Linked DNA regions of Saccharomyces cerevisiae S288C. The protein of the gene in region 1 binds, or shares a complex with, the protein of each later gene. Each region holds a gene or a part of one and is shown in the gene's direction. Other genes may lie near its edges.

What was found. The genes of interacting proteins can lie anywhere in the genome.
Region 2: the proteins of FIP1 (region 1) and PAP1 are in contact, whole or in part, in a crystal structure (PDB 3C66), measured with the Saccharomyces cerevisiae proteins. Residues at the interface, in NP_012626.1 of Saccharomyces cerevisiae: Leu81 (codon at 2,809), Glu82 (codon at 2,812), Val83 (codon at 2,815), Ile84 (codon at 2,818), Ile85 (codon at 2,821), Ser86 (codon at 2,824), Leu87 (codon at 2,827), Thr92 (codon at 2,842), Arg93 (codon at 2,845), Leu94 (codon at 2,848), Asp95 (codon at 2,851), Ala96 (codon at 2,854), Lys97 (codon at 2,857), Leu99 (codon at 2,863); in NP_012927.3 of Saccharomyces cerevisiae: Phe360 (codon at 3,142), Leu362 (codon at 3,148), Gln425 (codon at 3,337), Asp426 (codon at 3,340), Tyr428 (codon at 3,346), Phe470 (codon at 3,472), Lys478 (codon at 3,496), Val479 (codon at 3,499), Asp480 (codon at 3,502), Ile481 (codon at 3,505), His482 (codon at 3,508), Cys485 (codon at 3,517), Thr486 (codon at 3,520), Val489 (codon at 3,529), Asn490 (codon at 3,532), His502 (codon at 3,568), Asn506 (codon at 3,580), Leu507 (codon at 3,583), Ala508 (codon at 3,586), Leu509 (codon at 3,589), Arg510 (codon at 3,592), Phe511 (codon at 3,595).
Region 3: FIP1 (region 1) and YSH1 share a complex: the UniProt entries of both Saccharomyces cerevisiae proteins name them as parts of the cleavage and polyadenylation factor (CPF) complex.

What each region holds. Positions count from the first base shown.
Region 1 is NC_001142.9:601,685-606,771, reverse strand, and holds FIP1 (cleavage polyadenylation factor subunit FIP1), read left to right. Parts: upstream 1-2,568; coding exon 2,569-3,552; downstream 3,553-5,087. Other genes in the region: transcription factor IME1, read left to right, coding at 1,121-2,203; BUD4 (Bud4p), read right to left, coding at 3,694-5,087. UniProt on the Saccharomyces cerevisiae protein: Polymerase-regulating component of the cleavage and polyadenylation factor (CPF) complex, which plays a key role in polyadenylation-dependent pre-mRNA 3'-end formation and cooperates with cleavage factors including the CFIA complex and NAB4/CFIB.
Region 2 is NC_001143.9:441,168-445,438, forward strand, and holds PAP1 (polynucleotide adenylyltransferase PAP1), read left to right. Parts: upstream 1-2,064; coding exon 2,065-3,771; downstream 3,772-4,271. Other genes in the region: dynamin-like GTPase VPS1, read right to left, coding at 1-1,555; oxysterol-binding protein OSH6, read left to right, coding at 4,214-4,271. UniProt on the Saccharomyces cerevisiae protein: Polymerase component of the cleavage and polyadenylation factor (CPF) complex, which plays a key role in polyadenylation-dependent pre-mRNA 3'-end formation and cooperates with cleavage factors including the CFIA complex and NAB4/CFIB.
Region 3 is NC_001144.5:696,656-701,620, reverse strand, and holds YSH1 (cleavage polyadenylation factor subunit YSH1), read left to right. Parts: upstream 1-2,125; coding exon 2,126-4,465; downstream 4,466-4,965. Other genes in the region: YLR278C (uncharacterized protein), read left to right, coding at 1-1,622; DBP9 (ATP-dependent DNA/RNA helicase), read left to right, coding at 4,791-4,965. UniProt on the Saccharomyces cerevisiae protein: Component of the cleavage and polyadenylation factor (CPF) complex, which plays a key role in polyadenylation-dependent pre-mRNA 3'-end formation and cooperates with cleavage factors including the CFIA complex and NAB4/CFIB. Has endonuclease activity.

The sequences.
Region 1 (5,087 bases):
TGCGTGCCCGCAGGAGGGGGCGCCAGGATTGGGGGTAGATACAACATCAAGGAAGCGTCATGGTGGCTTCTTGGGTCTTAAATACGCAGGGAATTAAAGTTTCATTTATGTGCCTTTACATGCACTCAAAAACCTTCTTAGTTACAGGAAAAGGTAAAGATACGATAAGAAAAGCCTTTGAACTGCCCATCCTGCATCCTAACACAGATCTAACTCACTATTCGGGTAAGGAAGTGTCATGCATGTCTGCAAAGGGACTAGAAGAAAGTTACATGATTACATAAGCAAAAAATCGGAATTACAGACACACCATTTTTTATCCTGCGGCCCCATTTCCGTCTTCGAGGGAAAGGATCAAAGGCGCTTAGCCCAATCTTGATGATTCACCGGGGAAGAAAGGAATTACAGAACCCCCAGCCACGTAACACAGCCAATTAGTTTTCTATATCGGGAAACGTGATTGATTGCGCAATTTTGGCTGCATCAGAATACATCGATGAGATCTAGAGCACCCTTTGATGGTTTAAGTCCGGTTTAAAGTTAGTAGATCAATGATTTCGTAGTGCATTTTAAAGGGAGCGCTTATCCATGGGTGATTGCGTTTACAACGTTTTGTGTGTACTCATAATAGCCAATCTAAAATTAAACAACAACAACAACGCACAATTAATATGTATCAGCCCCAATACCTTTTTCTCTTACTGTAATTTACTACTAAATTGGGGTCGGACGTTTTTGATCTTGTTCCTTGCCTGTTGTTTACCTTGTATATTACTTTTCCTCTTTTATGTATTTAAGGTAAATTAATTATCTTTTGATCTTAATATTTTTCTCAAAATGCTTCCCTTGTAGTTCGGTATTTTTGCTTCTTCAGATATTTAAACTACCGTATACCATAACTGTTTCGTGAAGTAGATACAAACATCGACTATCCTATTACGATTTATTTTACATTATCATATTATAAATCGACCAGTAGTATTGTTAAAGATTAAAAGCATAATATACTACTGTCATTAGTCACCTACAGAGAAACAAATTCCTACTGGCACCCATTACTGGTGAAAAAGGAAAAAAATAATAAAAGAAAAGCTTTTCTATTCCTCTCCCCACAAACAAAATGCAAGCGGATATGCATGGAAAACTTCACGCTGCCTTAGAAGATGGTTTCTTCCTCTTTCCTTTTGAACAGCAACAACAACCTAACATTTATTATGACACAACCACCGATCAAGAAGACCGTCCTTGTTTTTCTTTTGGATCTACAATTTCCCCTAGAAGTTGGCATTTTGAAAAGTCTGACAAAATTGCCTCATCTCAGCTGCAGAACTTGGTTCATACACAACCAATTCATTTAATTAATCCTCAAATATTGTTCAATGAAGAGTTTCTGAATTTGGAAAATATTGATTCTCAGCCTATTTCCAAGGAAACGAAAACTACGAAGGACTGCACAATGGCAACTGGTCCTGAAAGAGGAAAAAAGAGCTCTGAAAGTACCAGATCCTCTTCATTATCATCTCTTTTTTCTAATGATGAATCCGCATCTACGTTCCACTCATCATTCAATAACCATGATAACTTTCAAAAGAGCAACAGAAATGGAGATGATATCGATATTAGTGACACAATAAAATATGAAACTAATACAAATGCACAAAAAGATATCAAAATATTCCAAGAAAATTTTGAATTCAATGAATTCCCATACACACAAGACTTCTACCCATATACCACTAATTATACCTATTCAAAACCCACAAATATTCATGAATCAATAAATTCAAAAAACACGGATTCATACTCCCAATATCAAGATCAGTTTCCACCACATACTGATAACATACATTCCTTTAATAATCGTCACTATAGCAACCATAAAAGCACTAATTGTAATTACTATAATAATACCAGCAATAATAACAACGCCTCCGATAATGTATATGAGGCAGATCCATTTATAGATGAACCTCAGGTGCCCTCCTACTATTACCCATTAGAAATTGCCTTCGACGTTGAAAAATCACCACCGCCATCACTACAAAAATTAAATTCAAAAGAGTTAGAATTCCTAAAAAAGTTGAACTCCAAACTGTCAAGATATGCTGCGGCTTACTCCTTCAGCAGTTCTAATGATCAAGATTATTATGACAAGGTCAGGTTTCAAGAAATATCCTACAAGTTTAGTAAAACCTATTCTTAATTCTCGAAAAGTACTACAATCTTCCCCCTTCCCTCAAAATATATCCATTCACACTCATTTCTTTATTTCCATTGTCTCACTCAAATTGCTAAGAATTTGTGTATTTGCATATATATATATTATATATAGGTATATATATGTATTCAATGTCTCAAGCTCCATGACATAATACCGTAGCGTTATTAGCCTTATCGTATGTCGCGATGGGAAAGGAGATTCGTTTTAATCTTGAAAAACCTTCGTAGCGAATAATGCGACATAAATCTTGAGAGAGTACATCACCAAATTCACTTTGTTAAACCGCACCATCGTGCTTTGCATTCTTATTCCTTTTGCCTACACTAAAATTATTAGCATTTCTCTAAATGAGCTCCAGTGAAGACGAAGACGACAAGTTCTTGTATGGTTCCGACTCCGAATTAGCACTACCTTCATCTAAACGATCAAGAGATGATGAAGCAGACGCAGGTGCGTCCAGTAATCCTGATATAGTTAAAAGGCAAAAATTCGACTCTCCCGTGGAAGAAACTCCAGCTACTGCCAGAGATGATCGTTCTGATGAAGATATCTACTCTGACTCCTCAGATGACGATAGTGATTCTGACCTAGAGGTTATCATAAGTCTGGGTCCTGACCCTACTAGGTTAGATGCAAAACTACTCGATTCTTATTCTACCGCAGCGACATCTTCAAGCAAAGACGTAATTAGCGTAGCTACAGATGTATCCAATACCATCACAAAGACATCAGATGAAAGACTAATAACAGAAGGAGAAGCAAATCAAGGTGTAACGGCAACGACCGTAAAAGCTACAGAGAGCGATGGAAATGTACCGAAAGCAATGACTGGTTCTATAGACCTGGATAAAGAGGGAATCTTTGATAGTGTTGGCATAACGACAATAGATCCTGAAGTATTAAAGGAGAAACCCTGGAGGCAACCGGGGGCCAACTTAAGTGATTATTTCAATTACGGTTTTAACGAATTTACCTGGATGGAGTATTTACATAGACAGGAAAAACTACAACAAGATTATAATCCTAGGAGGATCCTAATGGGCCTATTATCCCTCCAACAGCAAGGGAAGTTGAATTCCGCGAATGATACAGACTCAAACCTCGGTAATATAATTGATAACAACAACAACGTAAACAATGCAAATATGTCTAATCTGAACAGTAATATGGGTAATAGTATGTCTGGAACACCAAACCCTCCCGCTCCACCAATGCATCCAAGCTTCCCACCCTTACCTATGTTTGGTAGCTTTCCACCATTCCCCATGCCAGGTATGATGCCACCCATGAACCAACAGCCTAATCAAAATCAAAATCAAAATTCGAAATGAATGGGGATCTGTGAAATTGAAATAAAAATATATCGTCCATGATTCACGTATTTACTCTTATTATGTGTATTTAATTAATCTTTAAACTAAAGACCTCTCAGTCATCAGATTATATGCTGTTTTCATTCCATTAATCACCTTCTAATTAAAATCTTGCTTCAAATTATGACCGGTTGTTCGAGTCTTTTCCTCCTCAGCTAACTTTTCACAATACTTTTTCACCCAGGGTTGATGGAAAACATTCAACTCAACAACTTCCTGGAGCTTATTGTACCAATCACTTTTTTCCTCATTAGAGCATTCCGCGTTGAAAGTAATTCTTTCACCATCGTCAAATACTAGCTGGAAGCATTCATTAAAGAGTACCCAATCTGTAAAATTCCTTTGCCCTCCATTATCCGCCTGGATGTCTTCATTACGTAGGACTTTCGTGACTTTCAACAGATTAATATCGATCTTAGCCTTTCTAGAGATTTCATGATAACCAGAAAGTTGCGAGCCGTGCAGTTTGAAAAACCTGTTTTCTATCTTTCCTTTCAGATCACCACCATCCTGCAATAAATACCCTTCTTTATAGATATTTTGTTGCAACTTGTATTTGGAAACAATCTTATTGACCAATGAAAATTGTTTGGGAAATTGTTCAAAGGCAGAAGTTCTTTCTAAGAAACATGCTTCCACATCCAACGAAGCCACTTTGTGAGGCGCCTTGCGTGGTAACTCGTACAGCCTTTTTGAGCCGTGAATTTTGTCTGCGATTCTACTCCACTTGTTAATCATATTGTAATGCATATGACTGGTATTAAATGCCACGTTTTTCAAAAACTCTTCATTAATTTCAATTTCACAACGAGCAAATGAACCGTCTTGTGCAAATAGATAATCCCACTCATCTTGTTTAGGTTTTTTCTGTACATACTTCTTTTCAAATTTATACTTTGTCTTTCCAAAAAAACTCTTACCCACCGGCACCTTGTCTACTATTTCGACCAATTCATGTCGAGGTTTTTCATATTTACATTTTAATGTGATAACACATTTTTTGTAGCTATCTCTTTCAGAAGAAGCGGAGGATGTTTCGGCTTTTCCTTTAAAATCTATGGGCAATTCAAATTCCTTATTGATCCTGATGTTACCGTCATACGGAAGCGACTCCCAGGGTGTCTGAACGACATTTTCCCCATTGTCAAAAACAATAGCATATGTTGCTCTATGACTCTTAGTTCCATATAATGCAAGCGTGGAAATAGCCTTTATACTTAAATAAAGTGTTCCCATATCCGGAAATTCTTGTTCAACGTCTTGTGGTTCTTCAAGTTGAGTTATCGTTTCTTCTTTTGCTTCGACGTTATCTTTTGTCTGCGCTAGCAGTGGAGGAATATCTTGTTTCAAACCATCGGTTTCTTGCTGCGTCATTGGCTCTATTTCCTCTTCAGCCTTAATGTTTATTTCATTATTCTCTTGTTTGTTTCCAGCTTTCACGACCTTGAAAGGACTGCTAACATGCCGTTTTATTGGACTTATACTACGAACTG
Region 2 (4,271 bases), on another chromosome or scaffold:
TATCGACAACAAACTCATTCGTAGGAATAGTAGCATCCTTTAAGAACTGAATGAACTGATTAGAAATCGCTTCTCTTAGAGCAGGATACCTTGAGTACTTTGGTTGTGAAATAATCTGTTTTAGCATACGAACAAGTTCATCAAACACCAGAGTAACTAAACGTAGAGATGGTTCTTCAAATCTTCTAATTTGCTGTTTAACTAAAACTTCAAAAGCTTCGGTACCGACAAACAAAGATGGGGCAGAACCTGAACTATTGTACATAATGGTTCTGATATCAGAATCTTTGATCTGGTCGAATGGATCCAAAGAGTCTACACCATTTTTGAAAGTTTCATGGAATACGTAAGAAATTCTAGCACCACCAGAAAGTTCCTGACTGGAAAGCTCCTTCGCCTCACCGTCCAAGATACCGGCATATTCATTGGAAAAATCAGTAATCATGCTCAAAACAACCGAACTAGCTGAATCCATAGTTTCTGGGCCCAAGTTTATAAGTTCGTTTTGATATTTTTTCAATGTGGCTTCGATTTTCGCTTTGATTTCTGGCAGAGTTTGCCTAATGTGGTGTAATAAGATTGAGTTTAACTTTTTAGCCAAATATGGTGTACCACAGTAATGAGCTTTAGAACTGTAAGAGGGATGGTTCTCAAAAAATTTTCTTTCGTTTTCAAGGGCTTCTCTGATTGTTTTTTTGTGTTCAATATCCTTTTGACCTCTATTGATAACTGGGATATAACCATATCTCAAAGGAATGACTCTTCCAGCCAAAATATCTATGACATCTGTACCTTGATCCATCAAATCGACTTTTGTCAAGACACCAATAGTTCTCGTTCCTTCTGGATCGACCTCTCTAGCCAGCTTCAAACCATCGCTGTTGGCTAAATCGGTGTTAGCGGCATTAACAGATAATATGATAGCGTTTGGTTTCGAAATATACTTTAACAACATGTCCTTAATTTGTCTTTCAATATCAGGAGGTTGGTCACCTACGGGAACCTTCGTCAACCCAGGCAAATCCACTAACGTCAAAGTAAGAACATGCGGAGAATAAATTCTCAAGTTAATGGGCACAGAAGAAATACCTGAATTGGCACCTGTCACTTTGTCAGTTTCTTTGACGATTTCCTTTCTAATTTCGTCAAAATTATAAAACTTCTTACCAGGTAAATGCAAAAATTCACCCCATTCCTCTTTATTGTCTTCAGATTGTCCCTCGTTCTGGTGCTTTCCTGATTCATCCTTTTTCTTGTCATCATCGTTGATGTTCAAGTCAATCAATTCATTAGCAGTTTGGTTTACTTTAGCATGTTCTGACTTTTTTGGTCTCCTATTAATCAATTGTAACACTAAAGGTCTCCTGGTGACAATACCAGTACCTCTTGGCAAGAAATCCCTACCAACAATGTTCTCCAAAACGGACGACTTTCCTGACGACTGGGAACCGACAACAGTGATCTGTGGTAAATCAATAGGAGATTGAGATCCTCCTCCTAAGGGCGCCAAAGCGTCCTGAAGCTTGTTAATAGTAGAAATTAAATGCTCATCCATGATATCTGATAATATAAAATGTGCAGTTTTCGTACGGTCCTTATTTTGGTGCTATAAAAGGCCTCTCTAATTCTTTTTTAGGAGTAAATAGATGAATTATCTCGGTCTGTCTTGGAAGATATGTTGTTCTCTTGATGGCAAAGCGACGCGAATCAACGGCGCCCAAGTCTTTGGGTGACCCGGCCACTTAATAATGTTTGGGGAAGAAATCAATCCATTAGAACATTGGTTTTGGAAACTAGGCCAGTCCAAGCGCACAAGTGGTTTACCCTCGAGCATTTTTCGACTATTAGAGGATTCAAGTATCTATCGAATTCTCTGAAGCTATCATACTATCCTCTGGACGATATTAGAACGATTTTTCAAGTGAAACGTTTTAGCAAAAGTTTAAAGACACTAAACTAGCTAAATAATTTCACTGTGAGCAAGTCTTTAAACGGTCTTTTTTGAATCAAAAGAGGCCTAGAATTAGCAAAATATTTAACGCATAAACTTTTTTTAGACAAATAATGAGCTCTCAAAAGGTTTTTGGTATTACTGGACCTGTTTCCACCGTGGGCGCCACAGCAGCAGAAAATAAATTAAATGATAGTTTAATCCAAGAACTGAAAAAGGAAGGATCGTTCGAAACAGAGCAAGAAACTGCCAATAGGGTACAAGTGTTGAAAATATTGCAGGAATTGGCACAAAGATTTGTTTATGAAGTATCGAAGAAGAAAAATATGTCAGACGGGATGGCAAGGGATGCTGGTGGGAAGATTTTTACGTATGGGTCCTATAGACTAGGAGTCCATGGGCCTGGTAGTGATATCGATACTTTGGTAGTTGTTCCAAAACATGTAACTCGGGAAGATTTTTTTACGGTATTTGATTCACTACTGAGAGAGAGGAAGGAACTGGATGAAATTGCACCTGTACCTGATGCGTTTGTCCCGATTATCAAGATAAAGTTCAGTGGTATTTCTATCGATTTAATCTGTGCACGTCTAGACCAACCTCAAGTGCCTTTATCCTTGACTTTATCAGATAAAAATCTACTGCGAAATCTAGACGAGAAGGACTTGAGAGCTTTGAATGGTACCAGAGTAACAGATGAGATATTAGAACTGGTACCAAAGCCGAATGTTTTCAGAATCGCTTTAAGAGCTATTAAGCTATGGGCCCAAAGAAGGGCTGTTTATGCTAATATTTTTGGTTTTCCTGGTGGTGTGGCTTGGGCCATGCTAGTGGCTAGAATTTGTCAACTATACCCTAACGCCTGTAGCGCAGTTATATTGAACAGATTTTTCATCATTTTGTCGGAATGGAATTGGCCACAACCTGTTATCTTGAAACCAATTGAGGATGGCCCGTTACAAGTTCGTGTATGGAATCCAAAGATATATGCCCAAGACAGGTCTCATAGAATGCCCGTCATTACACCAGCTTATCCATCAATGTGTGCTACCCATAACATCACGGAATCTACTAAAAAAGTCATTTTACAGGAATTCGTAAGAGGCGTTCAAATTACGAATGATATTTTTTCCAATAAGAAGTCCTGGGCCAATTTATTCGAAAAAAACGATTTTTTCTTTCGATACAAGTTCTATTTAGAAATTACTGCATATACAAGGGGCAGTGACGAGCAGCATTTAAAATGGAGTGGTCTTGTTGAAAGTAAGGTAAGGCTTCTAGTTATGAAACTGGAGGTGTTAGCTGGAATAAAAATTGCACATCCTTTCACCAAACCCTTTGAAAGTAGTTATTGTTGTCCAACCGAGGATGACTATGAAATGATTCAAGACAAATACGGTAGTCATAAAACTGAGACAGCACTGAACGCCCTTAAACTGGTAACAGATGAAAATAAAGAGGAAGAAAGTATTAAAGATGCACCAAAGGCATATTTAAGCACCATGTACATAGGCCTTGACTTTAATATTGAAAACAAAAAGGAAAAAGTTGACATTCACATTCCCTGCACTGAATTTGTGAATTTATGTCGAAGTTTCAATGAGGATTATGGTGACCACAAAGTATTCAATCTAGCCCTCCGCTTCGTAAAGGGTTACGATTTGCCAGATGAAGTTTTCGATGAAAATGAAAAGAGACCATCAAAGAAGAGTAAAAGGAAGAATTTAGATGCTAGACATGAAACCGTGAAGAGATCTAAATCAGATGCTGCTTCAGGTGACAACATCAATGGCACAACCGCAGCTGTTGACGTAAACTAAGACATTCCTATTTATAGTTGAATAGTTTATTAATATAGGTTAATCAGTCATAAACAAATTTGTACCCTTTTTTTTGAATCAAAGTACTTTTTTTACGAAGCAGTAAAACGTTTACGAGATTCTCTCTACATATGCTCTTTCGCGTGTAGCGACATTTTACCATTAGGTGAGAATTTTGTGTTACAAGCTGGATGTCAGGATGATACCTTTGAAGGCATAGTTAAATTGGCTGGGAAAGGAACGGAACCTTTTCCTTTCCGAGTTTCGGCCAGATATTTAGGCTTTTTTTTTTCTGACGGAATAGGGGACCCAGGATTGACAAATATAACAAAACAAGCTTCAACGAGACGTTTATCTCGAGAATTACGTCTGACAGTTACATGAAGTGTGAGTTCATGCAATCTGTACCTTTATTGACACAGATATACTAAAAGAAGTTACAATGGGCTCCAAAAAACTGACCGTAGGATCTGATTCGCACCGGTTGAGCAAATCCAGTT
Region 3 (4,965 bases), on another chromosome or scaffold:
CGCCTGCTGTGGCTAGAATATTTGGTAAAGGACAAGCTGAAGAGCACGCCGGTTTTGTGGAAAATTCACAAGTGGATTTGGCTGAACAAGAGAAATTCAAGAAGAAGCAAGGTGTTTTAGAAAAGACCTCTGTACCCAAAAGTTTAGCTCACCTATTAACCAAAATGGATGACAGGTCACGTATTTCAAATTCTTCAATGTCTTATACAACATCTTCTTCGTCATCATCTTCTTCTTCGTCATCATCGTCGACATTATCGTTTCCTTCTTCCCAAGAAAAAAACCTGAAAATCAATGTAAACAATGATAACAATGGTATGACCATCAGCAGCGTCAACAGAGAACACAACAATAATCACAACAATAATAATGATAATAATAATAATAATAACAATAATAATAATAATAGTAATAATAATAATAATGTTAATAATAATGATAATGAAAGTAATAGCAGAAGCACTACCAACAACAGCTGCAATAATGGCAACAACAGCCAGTATGTTCGTAACAACAACGTAACTATGGAAAATGATGTAGAAAGGCCTATTCAAGACCAATATATCGTCAAGAAACCAACCAACCAAACAGAGTTTGATTGGCAAGTATTTCAACAGCAGGCCTTTCTACAACAGCAACTAGCTCAGCACAATTTACAAGCGTATCTATCGTCCCTGAACACCGATACTATGACCAATAGAAGTCCTTCAAAATCTTCTAGCATATCTACAGCCTCTTCGCATTCGGATCCGATTCCAATAGCGATGACGCAAAGCCCAACTCCATATCCTCAAACTTCCAATATGCTACCGCAACAGCATGTATCACGACCACTGCCGCAACAACAGCGGGAGCAGCCACAACAACATATTACTTCTCCACAAAGATTCTCAGAAAGCAATTTTACGAATCAATTAAACAATGGTATGATCAACAGTAATCCTCTACAATCTGCAATATTCTCTAACCATACAAGTGAAAATAAGCAATTAAGAGATGTCGAAGAATCAAATTTCAGTACATCACCCCTAAGAGCAGATTATGGCAATAATATTATCTCCTCGATACCAGCGTCATTTACTAGCAATTCAATTCCGGTCAGTGTCAAACAAGCTCGAAATGGCTCTTCTTCGGGCGATATACTTTTCAGCAACGGTGCTCATGACATGATCAACAATATTTCCACCTGGACCAATAACTCCGTTCTAGATGCTTTGAATAGCAAGTCCATACTACAAACAATATTTCCCCAGAGTCAAGAGCCTTCATCTCTGTCCATGGACAAACAGCAGCAACAACATCAACAACAAAATATGTGTTCTGAAAACAATGTAACCGCTAATAATTTTCAACAGACGCAGAATGACCCTTCGTATAACAGAAATTTGTTCATGATGTCCAATCAGGAAGGTGTACAATATAATCTTGACGAAACAGAGAAGAATGGACCTAAAACACAGGTGGAAGCAAACACTAGCGCAAATCTGCATTTCGACAATGTTATTCCTACAGTAACTAACGCAGACATCAGGAAAAAGCGTTCTAACTGGGATAACATGATGACATCTGGTCCGGTAGAAGACTTTTGGACGATTAATGATGACTACGGCTTTTTAACGTGATACTACATTAATATAATAGTATGTACAAACTCATTCCTTTTTTTTTTTTTTTTTTTTTTCTCTTTTTTTTTAAAAGAACAACTAAATCGCTTTTTTTAATTATGATATGGGTCATATCTTATAAGCCTAATCTAAAACACATTTTTTTCTTTCATTTATATTGTTTTTAAAATCAATAAAACTCTTTCTTTCCTGTATAAAGTCCTCTCCAAAAGACTAAGTAGCGTGTTTGCAAATAAATACGGGTAAGCAGTTATTCTGGCCGAAAATTATGAAAAACTAGCGGATCTTTAACAACTTCTACTGCTTCAGCGCAATACATATTGAGATCACATCTAATAGGTTCAAAATGTTCACGGGTATAAGCGTTTATTTCTTTTACCCTTGTTTTCAGTACTTCAAAAGTTACAGCACAAAAGAAACATTGTATTATCAATTGAATTTTGTCCATTGAGGAAATAAAAAGTAACATAATAAGTTAACATTAATAAGTATACGCATATATGGAGCGAACAAATACAACAACATTCAAATTTTTTTCATTGGGAGGAAGTAACGAAGTTGGACGATCATGTCATATATTGCAATATAAAGGTAAAACAGTGATGCTCGACGCAGGAATTCATCCGGCATATCAAGGATTAGCTTCATTACCTTTTTACGATGAATTTGATCTTTCCAAAGTCGATATCTTACTGATATCACATTTCCATTTAGACCATGCCGCTTCACTTCCGTATGTGATGCAACGGACTAACTTTCAAGGCAGAGTTTTCATGACACATCCAACCAAAGCCATTTACAGATGGCTACTGCGAGATTTTGTAAGAGTTACTAGTATAGGTTCTTCATCCTCCTCTATGGGGACTAAAGACGAAGGTCTATTCTCAGATGAGGATTTAGTTGATTCTTTCGATAAAATTGAAACGGTGGACTATCATTCTACTGTTGACGTCAATGGTATCAAATTTACGGCATTCCATGCAGGCCATGTATTGGGTGCAGCGATGTTTCAAATAGAGATTGCTGGCCTTAGGGTGTTATTCACAGGTGACTATTCGAGAGAAGTAGATCGTCACTTAAATTCTGCTGAGGTGCCTCCACTTTCATCCAACGTATTAATTGTGGAATCTACCTTTGGTACCGCTACTCACGAGCCCCGTTTAAATAGAGAAAGGAAGCTAACCCAACTAATCCATTCCACAGTGATGAGAGGAGGCCGTGTTCTACTGCCTGTTTTTGCTTTAGGGAGAGCTCAAGAAATCATGCTTATACTGGATGAGTACTGGTCTCAACATGCTGATGAACTCGGTGGTGGACAAGTCCCAATATTTTATGCATCAAATTTGGCAAAAAAATGTATGAGCGTTTTTCAAACCTATGTAAATATGATGAATGATGACATTAGAAAAAAATTTAGAGACTCTCAGACTAATCCCTTCATATTCAAAAATATATCTTATCTTAGAAACTTGGAGGATTTCCAAGATTTTGGTCCCAGTGTGATGTTGGCCTCACCAGGTATGCTGCAAAGTGGGTTATCAAGAGATTTACTTGAAAGGTGGTGCCCTGAAGATAAAAATCTAGTACTAATCACCGGTTACTCCATCGAAGGAACAATGGCGAAATTTATTATGCTTGAGCCAGATACAATACCTTCCATAAATAATCCGGAAATAACCATTCCAAGACGTTGTCAAGTTGAAGAAATCTCCTTTGCCGCACACGTTGACTTCCAGGAAAATTTAGAATTTATTGAAAAGATTAGTGCGCCAAATATCATCCTTGTTCATGGAGAAGCCAATCCCATGGGCCGTTTGAAATCTGCATTGTTATCCAATTTCGCGTCTTTAAAGGGTACAGATAATGAAGTCCATGTTTTTAATCCTAGAAACTGTGTTGAAGTAGATCTTGAATTTCAAGGTGTCAAGGTTGCAAAAGCTGTGGGAAATATTGTGAACGAAATATATAAAGAAGAAAACGTAGAGATAAAGGAAGAAATTGCGGCTAAAATTGAACCTATAAAGGAAGAAAACGAAGACAACTTGGATTCTCAAGCAGAAAAAGGTTTGGTTGATGAAGAGGAACACAAAGACATAGTCGTTTCTGGGATTCTAGTTTCAGATGACAAAAATTTCGAATTAGACTTCCTTTCTTTGTCTGATTTAAGAGAGCACCATCCCGATCTTTCTACAACGATATTAAGAGAGCGCCAGTCAGTTCGTGTAAATTGTAAAAAGGAGCTAATTTACTGGCACATTTTACAAATGTTTGGAGAGGCTGAAGTTCTTCAAGATGATGATAGAGTAACAAATCAAGAACCAAAGGTTAAAGAAGAGTCAAAAGACAATCTGACCAATACAGGTAAATTGATTCTACAGATAATGGGTGATATTAAGTTAACTATTGTTAATACTCTAGCCGTTGTGGAATGGACTCAAGATTTAATGAATGACACTGTAGCAGACTCCATTATTGCTATACTTATGAATGTGGATTCAGCTCCCGCCAGTGTCAAGCTTTCGAGTCATTCTTGTGATGATCATGATCATAACAATGTGCAGTCTAATGCACAAGGTAAGATTGATGAAGTTGAGAGGGTGAAGCAAATCTCAAGGTTGTTTAAAGAACAGTTTGGTGACTGTTTTACTTTATTTCTCAATAAAGATGAATATGCAAGTAATAAAGAGGAAACTATAACTGGAGTGGTTACCATAGGTAAAAGCACTGCTAAGATTGACTTCAACAATATGAAAATTTTAGAATGTAATTCAAATCCTTTGAAAGGTAGGGTGGAAAGCCTCTTAAATATTGGTGGTAATTTGGTCACACCGCTATGTTAAAAACAGTTACGCATACTAAGTAGACTACTTTATAGAAGTAATACCAAACCAAAATCTGGTTAGAACTGCCTTTTATTGTTTACCTTAATCACTCTTTACGTAATGAAACCTAGAGATGAAATTTTAAAAATTTTTTTTCACGAACATAAAGAATAACTCTTCTAGACCATCTCATCTCATCTCATCTCATCTCATTTCATTTCGATTCTTCTAATTTCTTTCATTGAGTAAGAGCCTTTTGTTTTGGCTGATAGTTATAGTCAATCTACAATTTATCTCACAAAAGAAATAGACTAAGCCAAAACTGCAACGAAAGATCAAAAAAATGAGCTATGAGAAAAAGTCTGTGGAAGGCGCTTATATTGACGATTCTACAACGTTCGAAGCATTTCATCTCGACTCTCGTTTATTACAAGCTATTAAGAATATAGGATTTCAGTACCCAACATTAATTCAATCACATGCTATTCCTTTGGCTTTACAACAGAAGAGAGATATTA